Linked DNA regions of Oryzias latipes. The protein of the gene in region 2 interacts with the protein of the main gene of each other region in a biochemical or structural test. Links are inferred from orthologs where the notes say so. Each region holds a gene or a part of one and is shown on either strand. Other genes may lie near its edges. The genes, in order: rbbp8 and E3 ubiquitin-protein ligase Siah2.

What was found.
Region 1: the proteins of E3 ubiquitin-protein ligase Siah2 (region 2) and rbbp8 form a complex in vitro, tested with the Homo sapiens proteins (2 studies listed by BioGRID). The link is inferred for Oryzias latipes from reciprocal best matches to the Homo sapiens genes SIAH2 and RBBP8.

The regions. Positions count from the first base shown.
Region 1 is NC_019878.2:11,812,465-11,817,186, forward strand, and holds the start of rbbp8 (DNA endonuclease RBBP8), read left to right. Parts: upstream 1-1,595; 5' UTR 1,596-1,723; intron 1,724-1,928; 5' UTR 1,929-1,952; coding exon 1,953-2,052; intron 2,053-2,870; coding exon 2,871-2,913; intron 2,914-3,013; coding exon 3,014-3,109; intron 3,110-3,286; coding exon 3,287-3,378; intron 3,379-3,608; coding exon 3,609-3,681; intron 3,682-4,553; coding exon 4,554-4,717; intron 4,718-4,722. UniProt on the Homo sapiens protein: Endonuclease that cooperates with the MRE11-RAD50-NBN (MRN) complex in DNA-end resection, the first step of double-strand break (DSB) repair through the homologous recombination (HR) pathway.
Region 2 is NC_019872.2:23,479,506-23,483,611, forward strand, and holds the start of E3 ubiquitin-protein ligase Siah2, read right to left. Parts: upstream 2,801-4,106; 5' UTR 2,596-2,800; coding exon 2,077-2,595; intron 1-2,076. UniProt on the Homo sapiens protein: E3 ubiquitin-protein ligase that mediates ubiquitination and subsequent proteasomal degradation of target proteins.

The DNA.
Region 1 (4,722 bases), on a different chromosome or scaffold from region 2:
ACTTCTTTTTAGCCAACCTCTTCCTCTGGACGCATTCCTGTACTTCCTCATTCCACCACCAAGTCTCTTTACCGTCTTTCCTCTTTCCAGATGACACACCTAGCACCTTCCTACCTGTTTCCCTGATAATCTCTGCTGTAGTTTCCCAGTCATCTGGAAGCTCATCCTGACCACCCAGACCCTGTCTCAACTTCTGCCTAAATTCCTCACAAGTTTCTTCATTCTGTAGCTTCCACCACTTGGTCTTCTTTTCTGTTTTCCCTCTCTTCTTCTTCCTGACCTCCAGGGTCATCTTACACACCACCATGCGGTGCTGTCTGGCTACACTCTCTCCTACCACCACTTTGCAGTCAATAACCTCTCTCAAATGACCTCGTCTACATAGGATGTAGTCCACCTGAGTACTCCTACCTCCACTTCTGTATGTCACTCTATGTTCCTCTCTCTTCTGGAAGTAAGTGTTGACTACAGCCATTTCCATCCTCTTCGCAAAGTCCACCACCATCTGTCCCTCCAGATTCCTTTCCTTCACACCAAACCTGCCCATCACCTCCTCATCACCTCTGTTGCCCTCACCAACATGCCCATTAAAGTCTGCTCCAATAACAACTCTCTCTCCTCTGGGGATACTCTCTATGACCTCATCCAACTCACTCCAGAATCTCTCCTTCACTTCTAACTCACAGCCAACCTGTGGCGCATACCCACTGACTACATTCACCATCACCCCTTCGATTTCTAACTTTAAGCTCATCATCCTGTCTGAGACTCTTTTCACCTCTAGAACACTGTTTACAAACTCCCCCTTCAGAATCACTCCTACCCCGTTTCTCTTCCTATCAACACCATGATAGAACAGTTTGTATCCTCCTCCAATACTACGTGCCTTGCTGCCCTTCCACCTTGTCTCCTGCACACACAGTACATCTACCTTCCTTCTCTCCATCATGTCTGCCAGCTCTCTGCCTTTCCCTGTCATTGTGCCAACGTTAAGAGTCCCTATTCTCAAACCTATGTTCCTGCCTTTTCCCTTCTCTCTCTGGCCACGGGCCCTTCTGCCTCCCCTCTTTCTTCGACCAACAGTAGTCAAATTTCCACCGACACCCTGTAGGTTAACAGCATCGGTGGCGGTCGTTGTTAACCCGGGCCTCGACCGATCCGGTATGTCTAAAGTGTTGTGGATGATTCGCATGGTTATTTTGGCAATTTTTACGCCGGATGCCCTTCCTGACGCAACCCTCTCTATTTATCCGGGCTTGGGACCGGCACAGAGGCAACTGGCTTGCAACCCCTGTGGCTAGCCATTATTAACTCTGTAAAGGCCAATAAAGAATTGAAATGGAATAAATGTTTTCTCCTTAAAACTAAATTATATATTTTTATTGCTGTGGGTAAAACATATTTGTGAAATTTGGCAACATATTTATTTGAATAGTTAAAAAAATAGATTAAGTCCTCATACATCAAACCGAAGTGGTAAAAATAGTTTCCACTAAATTTGATGTTCATCATCAGCGATTCTTTTAACCACCACTCTTTGAACAGCAGGAGGCGCTCGAGCGTCCAGTCTGCTACATTTTCAGGGCCACAAAGAAGAGTTCCCAGCATGCACTTCTTCGGCGCGGAAATTTCAATGGATTTTCAATGCGAGATGAAAGTCTGAGGAGAGAGCTCACGAAGGAACAAGTCTGCCGTGTTTCGGCGTTCAACCAGCTCAGTTTTTGTAAGTACGTTTGTGAAAAGCTGCGTTTAAATTCACCGCGTTGTTTGGAACAAAATAGTGGGTTTGAAAAACTAATACTTGTAAAACTTCTACTGAACTACTAGAAGTTCTATAAATACACTTTTCTATGTACTGGAGGCTGACATGGCGTTTAATAACAAATAAATATTCACGTCCATCTTATTTTTTTCTTTAAATTATGTGGGCTGTTTGCGGAGAGGTGTGAAAGATGAGTGGATCAGGTGACAGCAGTGGGACGATCAAAGCAGCTGATCCCTTTGAGGATCTGTGGCGGCAGCTGGGAGAGTGTCATCATCACGTGACTGGAGGTAAACGACTGCTGGTTATCGGGCAAGGAGTGACACTGATAAACAAGGAATGGATCAGGAAACAAGTATGGATTTTCTTTAGAAAAGACAATTCTAGCTGTATAAAAACACAAGAACAGATTAAGCAGTGTAGTTTTTTTAATTTTTATTTATTTTATTGACCAATTGCAACATCCAGAACAAAAAAAAATGCAACAATTATGTACATATAATGTACATTACAATTCTGAATACAGAAAAAACGTGTTACATCCTTAGGAAGATTTTAATTATTAACAATAATTACAAAAAGATTAAGCAGTGTAGTTTTTTTTTAGATTAGCAGTGTAGTGCAGATCCGGCTTTTACCGGCCATGACGTCATCTGCGTGAGCCTGAAATCTCCTGCATTTTTAAAACAAAGTTAAAAAACAAACACTAAATTTTATTTTCAGTGTTATTACAATATGTTTTCAATAAAAATAATTATTAGTGTACAAATAAATGGGTGATTTTTACCTGTACTTTAGCAGAAATGTACACTTCACCTATAAAACTGTAGAAGAAGCATTGTTTGCTTTTGTTCAGAGCTAAAGGAAGGATAAACTAAAACACACGGAGCCAGAATTGAATCAAAAGGTAACAAGTCCTTAGTAAATGAGTAAAAATGTGATGCTGGTTTGTTTGCATTCAATCAATGGCATAAAAATGCAAACAAAAAAAAAAGGAATTGGCAACTGAAAGCATTACATGCAATTTGGTAATTTACTGCAGAAACTCTTAAACAAAATAAGAATAAATAATAATAACTTTTTCTATGGGAATAACTTTTTCCCATAGAGCTGGAAGCAAAGGTGAGCCGGCTGAAAAAGGACCGCTGCCTGTAAGTCCTGATGGATTTTTGTTTTAAGGAACGCCAATAATCATAACGCATTCCTTCATAGTTAAGGAATGGCAGTCAAAGTGACGTTTGTTTGTTGCAGAGATGCTCAGAGACTTGAGGTGTTTTACAACCGTAACCAGCATCTGAAGGAGGAGAACAAAACCCTGCACGACACCATCCACCTCCTAGAGGAAAGGTAACATCCTCCAGCGTTTGTCACACTCTGGACCAACAGAACCGGCTACGTTTGATCATCCGGTTTTGCTCAATCAACAGAGGGTGCTCCGGTCTGGGTGTTGGGGTCACCAAAGGGGGGGTAGTTTGCTAAAGAGAGGCAAGAAAAACAAAAGTTTTGTTGTTCTTTGTTTTTCAGGCTCAGAGCAGGAGAGTGCGACCGTTGTGTTGTCTTGGAGGAAAAGCTGAAGAGCAGCCTGGATCAGAATCTCAGACTTCTTGATGAACTGAGTGAGTCCCAGAAGGAGCTCCTCTCAAAAATAAAAACACGTGCACCATCTTTTTAAAATAAAATCAAAAGAGGATGTGGGAGGTGGATCGGCTTTCAGTTGCAGCCAATCATGTCTGGAGGGGAAACGGTTGCTGCGGCTTTTCCCTTTTTGTTTGATGAAGCGCTGATGGAGGTGGAGGACAGCCGTCTTGGAATGATGGTGCTGAGAAACTTTTAACTTCTTATTCAGGAATTGAAAGAAACAACCTGCAGGATGAAAACAGGAAACTCCGTGCTGAGATACAAAAGCTGAAAGCATCGTGGTGAGTTTTCTGTAAATCTTCTTCCTTTCAGGGAAAATGTTGCCTCCAACCTTCCCAAAACGTACCTAAATTTGCATTTACCTAGTACCCAGTCAAAATGACTTTTGGGCATTTGGGGCCAAAGTCTCTTATGGGTCCAAAAAAAAGTAACAAACCAAAACACACGTGTGTGGAAGATGTAGATTTTGAATGGCGTTAGCGTAGCAAGTTTGCCAAAATGGCGTTTCCCTGTTGCTCACATAGTTTTTACTGGAATATTGTGAAAATACACGAGTCGACAGCTCAGGCTGAACAAAAACAATGTCTGATTGAACATATTAGGAATGCGAGGGTGGTTAACAAAAAACCTCTGTTGCTAAGGAAATCCCAAAAAATTATTTTTGCCTGTTCTTCTAAACGTGACTCAAACATGTTCGTCACCCCCAGGCGACAAAAAATTAAAATGGTTGCTATGGAGGCAAAACCAACCGAAGGCTCCTTTTTTTTTTTTAGTTTTCATGAATTTGTTATGTGGCTCTGACTGGGGTGGCAGAGGGAGAGTAAGGGGGGGGGGGGGGGGGTAGCAGCCGCTCAGCCATCATAGGATGGCGAGGGCAGAGGCGTGTAGCGTCTGCTGCTCACGCCTTCATTTTATTTCAATATCTAAAAATGTTTTCCTCATTAATGGTAACATTTAAATAAATAAAAATATTTTCTCTAAAATTTATCACAGAAACGTGTCTTATTTTTTTTCTCTTCATTTTTGGTTTCTAAACATCTTCCTGTATTTTCACTTTGCTGAACGTTGCGTTCTCTTGGCTTGGTGATGCGTTTGAGTGCTTCACGTGAACCTCGGCTTCAGTTCCCGCTGACACGCCGCTGTTTCCTGTCAGTTCCTCCTCAGAGCAAGACGACGGCTTCATCCCCGACTCGCCCGTCCTGCCCAGCTCGCTGCCGCCCGCCAACAAGCTGAGGAAGCGCAAACAGGTCGCCCAGCAGAAACACGTCCGTTACGAGGAGAAGCCCCTCCCCCACGCCCACAAGTCCCTCCTGTGTGGTTAG
Region 2 (4,106 bases):
TTTTGTAACACTTGCAGCACAAAACGCTTGAAGTTGCAACAGATTTTTCCACAAGTTGGGATAGTTTAATTGTTTCAACTAAAGGCTGTATGGGGATGTTCAAGCAGTGTTGTATCCTCCAGTTTATTAAGATACGATTTAGTAAAATGTAAAAAAAAAAATAATAAAACCACGACGTTCCTTTTAAACAGGGTTAATTCATTAAATATTTTGTTCATTTCCTTTGTGCAAGAGCAACTGTAAATGATGTAACCACAGCATGAATACATTCATAAAAAAACACTATAGCACTATATTCAGGGTTATAAGTTAAATTGGAACTTTAAAAAAGCACAATTGTTTTGTCTAAATAAATTAAAAAAAAAGGTTTTATTTATTTAAAAGATAAAAAAACAAACATTTTTTGCCGTTTAGATTTTTTTTTGAAAAGTGACTGAAGTCTGAATATGAAATTGTCTTTCAAACAGACATTATTAGAAAGCAGCTGTTTCTGATCTAAAGATGACTTTAGACTAAAAAGACTGGAACCTCTGGCCGTTAATGACTCCTTGGGCTCCAACACAAACCTTTACCTCTGATTTTAGCAAGAAGATTCTCCAACCGTTAGAACGGAACAGATTTCTGCGTTTGCTTCATGCCAGTTAACAGCAGCACCGGAGGAGATGCTGTCACATTAACCCAATGAATCATGGGAGATGTAGTGCTGCGGTATCGATGCCGGACAGACCAGCGTCTCCAAGCTTTGTTATTTTATTCACTTTTAAAATGATCTAACACCGGATCCCATGGGAAGCTACAGCGCTAAACTCGATCTTGAGGGGATGTTTTTGTTGGAACTGAGAGACTTTGAGCCACGGAACGAGGAAGTGAAGACGATAACCACTTCTGATTGGTTAGATTGAAGAATGATGGGCGTAGACCGTTTAAGGGGTGGAACTTTTTCCAAAATGAAAGCAACTGACCAAATACATCATAAACAAACACAAAGAGAACACTCTGTTGTCTGAACCTGAAGGCTTCAAGAACCTGAGGTGTGAAGCACAAACTCCCATCCAGAGGCAACTTCAAGATAGTTTGGTTTAAGAAGCTTCACAGCAGAACAGCTAGAACAAGGCTCAAAGCAGAACCTTACGGACCAGGGCCTACAGTAAAGCTCTACAACTACAAGACATGTGCACACGTTCACCATGATCCAGATCAAAACATCTTATCCAAATTCCTGAATTAAGTCGGACCAGAGAACTAAACCTGTGAGAGCGAGGCCTCCGTCATCTAAAACATCTGCCCTTGACTTCCTGATCGTGCTTCTGCCTCAGGTGTGAGCCTTGATGCAGCAGAGAGGGTGTCTTCACCTTGAAGCATCAGGTGTCCTCCCTCAGCCCCTCCTCCTGATCAGGTGAGGTCAAGACTCACCTTTCAGCTCTGATCCCCTCATTTAACTTTAACGAGTCCGTGACAGAACCTGAGCCGCTGTTTTAGGTACAACGTCTGGGGGGAACACGGCGTTCCACGCCCCTGTTCCCACCTAGACCCCCCTACCTTTTGTGCCTAAATGCCAGTCCGGGGAAGGTTGCAGTTCCTCAAATGACCACAGCAGGCTGGTTTCCCATCAACTCCCATCTTACAAAAATCCAACATGACAGCAGAAATGACCTTCTGACATCCTACACAGAAATGTCGGTATGGGGTGAGGGTGCCTTTTATTAAACTACAGATAGTTTTAGGTCACTTGTGGATTTATCTATCCCTTGACTTTGTGCCAAATGGAGATGCTCAAAAAATTGAAGTGGGGGGAGGAATTCTCACTTTAATTCCGTTCGTAATCTTTTAAGTGACGTCAGAGAATATAGGTCCATTGTTTGTGGTTCCTAAAACCTGAAACTGACATGTCCTACTGTTATCTCAGACAGTGAACGCAACATTCAGTTTGATGGTTCGTTTGTTTACGTTTTATACCTCTGTGTCATTCTGTTTGCCCTCTGAGTTTCAGAAAAGTTCGACTGGACCACAAAGAGAAGCTGGTTGATACTGCAGAACCGCTGCGGACCCGAACTGTGGGCTGGGCGGCCGGCTCACCTTGCAGGGGAACGGCAGGGTGGACGCCACCTTCTCCATGGCCAGGTTACGGATGCTCGGGCTGAGCGGGCCGCGGCAGGTCGGACAGCAGCTCAGCTTCTGCCGGCACGGGTTGCAGACCAGGTGACCCGACTGGCACTGCAGGATGGGCGGCAGCACGTAGTCGAAGCAGACGGGACACTCGAACAGCGCCGTGAGTTCCGTCGGCTGCCCGGGGAGGCCGGCTGCGGGCAGAGACAAGACGGAGGAAGATGCTGCCGAGCCCGACCCGGCCACAGAGCCCACACCGGCGCCGGCGGCCACGGCCGCGGCGGCAGCAGCTGCGGCGGCTGAAGCGGCTCCGTGCTTCCCCCCGCCTGCTTTCGCGGCCCCGAGTCCTCCGGCTCCGGCTGAGGACGGACCGCTCATGGCTCCCAGCTGCGGTCCTAGTCCGACGAGCGGCCGAAGCGGAGGTTCTGTCATCTGCCGCTCACAACCTGACCCAGCAGAGCCAACATGGCGGCTGTCGGTTTGTACCATGACCGCGCGCTGTCATTGGCTGCTTCCTGACTGAATGGCAGGAGCGTCAGCCAATCAAGCTCTGGAGGCGTGTCCTCACACGAATGTTTTTCCTGGAGACCAAAAATATTAAATAAAACCGCTGAAGGAGAAAAGATCCAAGGAGAACAGGACGATCATAAAAATACTGCTTTTAAAAAAGCATAAAAAATATTAACTGATGTTTGTGTGCACGTGATTATTAGTTTGTGTGTGTGCATGTATATAGTGTGGCGACCTGGGGGTTAGCCCTGCCTTCAGCTCCGAAGGCTCATGGGAAGTGGGGAATCTTGGGTGTAAAGTTCCTCACCATGAGTGAGGGCGTTGTGAGCAGAAGTGACCTCCATGCTGTTTGACTGTTTAAGTGGTTTTCAAATAAATAGGCCCTGAATCTAGAAAAGAGATTATGCTTCTCTGCCTGCTTGGGTTGTTACAATTTGTCTGGGTGTGTGATTGTATTATTGACTGGACATGGACCAATGAGTTATATTGCGAGAGGAGACACGCCCACTTCGGAAGCCTAGCCAATGGTGGCGGAGTGCTACGCCACCTTGGTGAGGTCGTCGGTGCCCACATGACAACGCTTTCTAGTTGCAGGACTTCTTACAAATAAAACAATTATTACAAAGAATTTAAAAAAATAATTTTTAAACATTTATAAGTTTTAGACCTCTTTGACATGTAATTTAAATTATTTAGAAAAGCACAACATTAAGTGAATAATAAGTCAGTAATTATAATAATGATATTAATATTAATAAGACATTTTCTATGAGTGACATCACATGCAATCCATCCTGTCATATTAAACCGTCAATGATATGTACTGAGTGACCCATCCCCCTTCGTGTTCCAAACAGGAAGTACCCGCTGGTTCAAAAACAAGACAAAATACCACAGATTCTTTAGAAAAATAAATACTCTGTCATTCTATTTGTCAGATTAATCATTCTATGGCTGCCACCTTTTTAATATGTTTTTGTTTCTTTATTGCAAGGTATTCAAGTTATAAACTGACCAGTCAGAGTCCTCAGTAAAAGCATGTGGTCTCATGTCACATGTTCAATATATCTGATTGACAGATTATCCCAAGCCCGCTTTCTAGTGGAAGGGATGCAGACTTTCAACAAGCTCGCTCCTTATTGGAAAGAGTGGTTGTCATAGATACAAGACTCAAACCGATTCGGACCAATCATTGCTTACTGGTCATTTCTGGTTCCAGCATGGTGGCGTCTGTATCGCGAAAAACTGGTGGCTGAATTGACTCCAGAATTGACTCCAGAAGTAAGCCGTTTTCTATGGGTGACGTCACACTCACTCAGTCCAGTTCTTATAAGGCATCTCCAACCCTGATTAGCTGGATTGAGTGGGCCCAGATTCTGACTGACTGAACACACCCTATCTGGGTGACCAATAATTACAGAAGCAGGGTTAGCTGCAAAACAAGCAGGGCAGTAGCTCACGAGGAACAGGGTTGGAGATCACTGCATGGT